Linked DNA regions of Ovis aries. The protein of the gene in region 1 binds, or shares a complex with, the protein of each later gene. Links are inferred from orthologs where the notes say so. Each region holds a gene or a part of one and is shown in the gene's direction. Other genes may lie near its edges.

Region 1 (4,025 bases):
CACGCGGTGAACTTCCAGGAGAGCCACCCACGGTCCCAAGGGTTACCAGCGGGGCAGACCGGAGCAAGCGGGATGGACACGAAACTCCGGTGACGGAGGGAGAGTGGAGGCCTCTTTAAATGCTATGGCCACGAAGAAAAGTAATTTCTGACCAAGTTTTGTAAAGTTATGAAATATTAACCATCTGTTCAGCCATTCAGTGTTTGGGGAACTCAGGTGCATCATCTGTGCAAGCCTCCCAAGACCCAGAAGCTTCCTCTTTCTACTCGAACATCCTGCAAGCGTCTGGGTTCGGGTGAGACGCCGTTAGGGTCACCGCTCTGAGCCGTGCCCCTGGACCTGGGTCCCTGTGGCTGGGCCAGAAGGTGAGGCCCCTGCTCCTCCTGGGGTTGTGAGCCTCTGGGCAGGCCCTCTGACCCGTCTTCGTGGCGCTTGTAGAGGGCAGGGCGGCTCTGGGTGTAAAGAGAGCCACGAATGTGTGCCAGGAGCTTGCAGGTGGTGACCCAGGGAACCCGCGGCTCCATTTCTCCCCTTCCTTTGCCCTACCCATGGGATTGGTGATTAACAGAGAACTGGTCTGGGGATTTCTGTTTATGGTGAGGACCATGGAAGATCCCGCAAAGAGAAAGTACAGCCTGGAGCCAAGGAACCCAAGCCCGCAAGGCAAGTGCTGCTGCTGCCGGCTGCCCGCTGCAGGCTGACCACTGCCCGCTGCCCGCTGCCCACCGCCCGCCGCCAGCCGCCCGCGCCGGGGAAGGCTCCAGGAACTCCCCTGCGGAATGGTCGAGGATGCATCTGTGCCCCCTCGGTGTCCCCAGGCCCGCCAGGCAGGGGCGGTGGTCCATTCTCTCCTTCGCACAAAGTTACGCATTCGCTGCCATGAGCCCCTTCTGGACCCCAGAGCATCCCTCGCTGCACGGTCACGGCCCGCGTGTTAAAGCAACCAACCCGAAGAACCTGCTCCCCGGGGACGCCGAACACACCAGGCCCCCCCCCCCCCCCCCCGCCCAGGGACCCTGCCTTCTGGTCCCCTCCCTCGGTACCACAGAGCCTTTCCGCTGTGCGACCCCTCGCGCGACCCCTGCGCCCTGGGCGGGCCGGCGGCGCGGGGCTGCGGAGGCCGCCGGGAGCAGCCGCGCGGAGGGGGCCAGGGCCTCGTCGTACCTGGGCCTCCGCGACCCCGCCCCTTCCTCCGCCCGGCCCCGCCCCTTCCTCCGCGCGGACCCCTGCTCCTCCGCGCGATGCCGCGCGCGCCCAGGTGCCGGGCGGTGCGCGCCCTCCTGCGGGCCAGCTACCGGCAGGTGCTGCCCCTGGCCGCCTTCGTACGGCGCCTGCGGCCCCAGGGCCGCCGGCTTGTGCGGCGCGGGGACCCGGCGGCCTTCCGCGCGCTCGTGGCGCAGTGCTTGGTGTGCGTGCCCTGGGACGCGCAGCCGCCCCCTGCCGCCCCGTCCTTCCGCCAGGTGGGCCGACCCCGGGGAGCCTGGGCGGGCCCGGCGGGGTGATGGCGGAGGCGGTGGGAGGGGACGGCCCCGTGGCCCCCGCGACGCACGGACTGTCCCCGCAGGTGTCCTGCCTGAAGGAGCTGGTGGCCAGAGTCGTGCAGAGGCTCTGCGAGCGCGGCGCGAGGAACGTGCTGGCCTTCGGCTTCACGCTGCTGGCCGGGGCCCGCGGCGGGCCGCCCGTGGCCTTCACGACCAGCGTGCGCAGCTACCTGCCCAACACGGTCACCGACACGCTGCGCGGCAGCGGCGCCTGGGGGCTGCTGCTGCGCCGCGTGGGCGACGACGTGCTCACCCACCTGCTCTCGCGCTGCGCGCTCTACCTGCTGGTGCCCCCTACCTGCGCCTACCAGGTGTGTGGGCCGCCGCTCTACGACCTCCGCGCCGCCGCCGCTCCTCGGCCCACGCGGCAAGTGGGCGGGACCCGGGCGGGCTTCGGACTCCCGCGCCCGGCCTCGTCGAACGGCGGCCACGGGGAGGCCGGGGCACCCCTGGAGGCGCGGGCCCAGGGCGCGAGGCGGCGTCGGGGCAGCGCGCGAGGACGACTGCCTCCAGCCAAGAGGCCCAGGCGCGGCCTGGAGCCCGGGCGGGATCTCGAAGGGCAGCTGGCCCGCGGCCCGCCCCGCGTGGTGACACCTACCCGAGACGCTGTGGAAGCCGAGTCTCGGGAGGGCAACGTGCCCGGGCCCTGCCGCCCCTTTCTGGGCGGCGACCGGGGTGTCAGCTCCGCGTCCTGGCGGCTGTCACCCCCAGAGGGCGAGCGGGGTGCCGGAGCGTGCGCTGAGACCAAGCGGTTCCTCTACTGCTCCGGAGGCGGCGAACAGCTGCGCCGCTCCTTCCTGCTCTGCTCCCTGCCTCCGAGCCTGGCCGGGGCGCGGACACTCGTGGAAACCATCTTTCTGGACTCGAAGCCCGGGCAGCCAGGGGCTCCCCGCCGGCCGCGCCGCCTGCCCGCGCGCTACTGGCAGATGCGGCCCCTGTTCCGGAAGCTGCTTGGGAACCACGCGCGGTGCCCCTATGGCGCGCTGCTCAGGGCGCACTGCCCGCTGCCGGCCTCTGCGCCCCCGGCGGGGCCAGGCCATCAGAAGCGCCCTGACGCGGGCGGCTGCCCCTCGGAGAGGCCGGCGGCTGCTCCCGAGGGCGAGGCGAGCTCGGGGCGCCTGGTCCAGCTGCTCCGCCAGCACAGCAGCCCCTGGCAGGTGTACGGCCTCCTGCGGGCCTGTCTTCGCCGCCTGGTGCCCGCCGGCCTCTGGGGCTCCCGGCACAACGAGCGGCGCTTCCTGCGGAACGTGAAGAAGCTCCTCTCCCTGGGGAAGCACGGCAGGCTCTCGCAGCAGGAGCTCACGTGGAAGATGAAGGTGCAGGACTGCGCGTGGCTGCGCGCGAGCCCAGGTGAGGCTTCTGGAGGGGGTGCTTCTCAATAGCTCCCCATCTCCGCTCTCGGCCTCTGACCCTCTCTCCCACCCAACTTGCATGGATACCGGACTTCATGGAGGTTCTGGGCCTGGGAAGGGGCAGTGGAGAGGGGGACTCGTGGAGGGCAGGGCCGCACCTGCAGGTGGGGCACCTGGAGCCCCGGTGGGCGTGGCTTCGGTGGTTCATCTTCTGTTTCTGACCTCAAGGTTAACTGCCTTGAACGATGCCCCCTGATAGGAGTGGGAGCTGGGCTGAGAACCCTCCTGGGTGGGGCTGGGAGGTAAGGCTCGGGGTTCCCCAGCCGGCTCTGGTCAGCCGTCTGCAGACCCAGTGAGTTCTCCTGTGTGTCCACCAGGCCAGGGCCACTGGCGGCCGGCGCGGGAGGACTGTGTCCTTGACCGAGGCCCCGGGCTGGGCGGGCACAGAGGGGAGAGCCGGCTGCCGGCCGGGTCCCAGGACAGCGGGCAGCTGCTGGGGAGCAATGGGACCTTCCGTGAAGCTGGGCCTTTGGGGCCCCTCCCTGTGTGGTGGTCTGGGTGTGATGTGGGGCTCCTCCCATGCAGCCACCGCCCAGCACGTGTGCGGGCAGAGCCAGGAGCAGCAGGACCAGCCCCTTCCGAGCGCTCCCCGGTCTGACCCCTGAAGTCCTGAGAGCTTGACACCCAGAGCTGGAGCCAGGCTTGGCCCCCTCGTTGACTCATGAGTCAGCTTTGCTCTTGAGTGTCTGCTGCTGCTGCTGCTAAGTCACTTCCGACGTGTCCGACTCTGTGCAGCCCCAGAGACGGCAGCCCACCAGGCTCCCGCGTCCCTGGGATTCTCCAGGCAGGAACGCTGGAGTGGGTTGCCACCACGAGTGTCTAGCGACTCTCTTTACCTTAAAGTCTGTCTCCCTGCCTCCCCACTCGCCAGTGTTTACTGCTCATGCTGTTTGCCCTTATCTGGGTTTTACCTTCAGCCTCTCCTGTCCCGTGAGCACGCGTAGTGTAGGTGCCGTATCGCGGCCCTGAGCCAACCTTCTGCGCGTCTGTCCGATCCCGTCTGACCGTCTGTGTGGCTCCCCTGGCCTTACACTTCTCTGTGCTGACCCGGTCTGGGCGCGTCTTTCTCATC
Region 2 (2,742 bases), on another chromosome or scaffold:
AAATAGACTATTACCATCACCTCTGCAGTCCACAAACAGCTCAGCCATACCCTGGGCTGAAAAGCTTCCCACTTAATCAAAAACTGCCACTCAGAGTAAAATTCCAAGACCCAAAAGTCTTTTTTGTTTGTTTGTTAAATTATTTTTGTGGTTTTAAATTTTGTTAAATAATTTTAATTTTTAAAATGGGTAGTACATCAGGACTGTTCAAAAGTCAGACTATTTAAAATGGAGTACACAGCAAGTCCACCCCCCGTCCTACTCCTTCTGGAACCAAGTTGAGCTCTTTATGCCGGAGGAAATCAGATTTATTCTGGATCCTCACTGAGATATTTTATACAACTACAAGCAAACACAAACTATACTTAAAAAAAAAAAAACCAACTTTAAGGTTTTTCTGGTTATAAAGCTGCATATATCTTCCAACGTTTTTCGCCATTATAAATCATACCGCAATGGTCACCTCGGTTAATGATATCTGGGTTCCAATTTTCATTTCTTTAAACCAGAATCCTATAAAGAGAATTTGTACGTTCTTTTAAAAATTCGCCATACCTCTAAGAGGCGCATCTTATCACGCTATTATTAGCTACTCACCACTACAGAGAGTTGAATTTGTGGCAGAGACCTGAGTTTGAATCTTGGGTCGACCACTAAAATATGCTTCACCGGTTTCGTAAAATAACTTCACGCTCTTTTCGCTGTGCAGAATATGGAATACCCATCGTGCATTTTTACCGCCAATGTTTGAAACAGGGCGAGAGAACCGGATGTAAAATAGGGGAAGGAAGAAAATCTTCTTTCTTTCCTAAGGTAAAGGAGGCTCTGGATCCTGGAGCCTTTAGTTCTGCAGGTACTAGAAACTCATTGCCTCTGAAATGGGTGTGCATCTTGAAATAAAAACAGGATAGTATTCAGTTATGTTTAATCTATATCCATCCCTACTCCCCTCTCTCCCTAGCAGTACCAGGCCCACAGTGGGCACACTGCACGTGTCGTACAACTCCTACAAGATTGCAACTGGGTTGCAACTGGTCACGTTCTGAGCTAGTGCGCCTCCTTCTGTCCGGCTGGAGAAAAGTCTAGATAAACTGGACTACAATTCCCGGCGTGCTTTCAGAGCGAGACTTCCGGCTGTACAGGAAGGAAATTGACCAACACGTGAGGCCTTCAGTTAGAGGCAGCTGCGGACAGAATTGGAACGTCCTGCTTTAGTGTGATCATGTTTCTCCAGTATTACCTCAACGAGCAAGGAGAGCGAGTCTACACGCTGAAGGTGAGAAGGGTAAACGGGCTGGATGTCAGCTTAGCGATGCATGTCATTGGAAGGAGCGGTCGGGAGAAGACAGTGAGTTGCCTAGCTGCTTGGGCGGGGGCGGGGGAGGGGGCGGGACTAGAAACTCCAGAAGCCGCGCGTGGTATTAATTAATGGAAGCAGAAATGCGTGGCTTCTAGATCTTACCGTCGCGTCTCCTGTTTTCATGTTTGCCGTTTTTGCGCGGCCCCTGATGTTGAAGCTCAAACTCCAATGCGTTGGCCACCTGATGCGAAGAGCTGACTCATTTGAAAAGAGCCTGATGCTGGGAAAGATTGAGGGCGGGAGGAGAAGGGGAAGACAGGATGAGATGGTTCATCACCGACTCCATGGACATGGGTTTGGGTAAACTCCGGCAGTTGGTGATGGACAGGGAGGCCTGGCGTACTGCGGTTCATGGGGTCGCAAAAAGTCGGACACGACTGAGCGACTGAACTGAACTCCCCATCCCAGCCTCCATCTCCCTTTTGAGGCCAGGGATTGCGTTTTCCCACCATTCCAGTGCTGAGATTATGTTCTTTCCTCCTCGAGCAGAAGCTTGATCCTATGGGACAACAGACGTGCTCGGCCCACCCTGCTCGATTCTCCCCAGACGACAAATACTCTCGACACCGAATCACCATCAAGAAACGCTTCAAGGTGCTCATGACCCAGCAGCCGCGCCCCGTCCTCTGAGGATGTCTTAACATTTCATGTGTCTTCTGCTGCCTGCCAGCACCCAAGAGACTTTCTGCAGCCAGGCTCTTCAGTCTGTGAGCCTGGAAGCTTGCTCCGACCCTTGCCCCTCGAGTCCGGTCTCATCTTTGCCTTCGATCATGCTTGTTGTGAAGCAGTCATGGTAGCATCCCCGTCCAAGGGAGATATCTGAATATTTTCGTACTTTGAATCACTGCCAGGTTATTAAAATGATTTCAAAGAGCTGTTATTTTGTATGTTGTGGGAAGAAAGGAGTGGTTTAAAAAAAAAAAAAAAAACGAGGGAAACGAGAGGGAAGAGTACCCCAGGGATACAAGACCACTTGGAAGAGAAACTTAGGCGACTGCTGTAGCAGTCGTGCTGTGCTGTGAGTCATAGCAGGGTGCTAGGGTAGGGGAAGAAAGCTTGAGAAAGACTTGTGCAACTGTTAGCATTAAGTAAGAAATACCCATGTTGTCAGTTAAGTAATTTTTTGTCCCTTGAAATGAAATTTCACTCAAAATGGAAGAGTTGCTTGAAAAATAATAGCAGCTATATGGGAGGAGGAAGATGTTGAATTGGAAGCCAGAAAATGAGTATTCACCCCTCTATAACTCTGAGAAAGTCAACCTGTTTAGTTCCGTTTTTCTCATCATTCCTAAGTACTCTTCCACCTCTAAAATTGATAGAGTTCAGTGATAGATCTTAATTCATCCAACCATTGTGAATAGGAATGTCTTTATGCATTTTTA

What was found. The genes of interacting proteins can lie anywhere in the genome.
Region 2: TERT (region 1) and NOP10 share a complex: the UniProt entries of both Homo sapiens proteins name them as parts of the telomerase holoenzyme complex. The link is inferred for Ovis aries from reciprocal best matches to the Homo sapiens genes TERT and NOP10.

Annotation. Positions count from the first base shown.
Region 1 is NC_056069.1:71,189,399-71,193,423, forward strand, and holds the start of TERT (telomerase reverse transcriptase), read left to right. Parts: upstream 1-1,216; 5' UTR 1,217-1,241; coding exon 1,242-1,460; intron 1,461-1,564; coding exon 1,565-2,891; intron 2,892-4,025. UniProt on the Homo sapiens protein: Telomerase is a ribonucleoprotein enzyme essential for the replication of chromosome termini in most eukaryotes. Active in progenitor and cancer cells. Inactive, or very low activity, in normal somatic cells.
Region 2 is NC_056060.1:26,486,690-26,489,431, forward strand, and holds NOP10 (H/ACA ribonucleoprotein complex subunit 3), read left to right. Parts: upstream 1-1,172; 5' UTR 1,173-1,222; coding exon 1,223-1,276; intron 1,277-1,849; coding exon 1,850-1,990; 3' UTR 1,991-2,233; downstream 2,234-2,742. UniProt on the Homo sapiens protein: Required for ribosome biogenesis and telomere maintenance. Part of the H/ACA small nucleolar ribonucleoprotein (H/ACA snoRNP) complex, which catalyzes pseudouridylation of rRNA.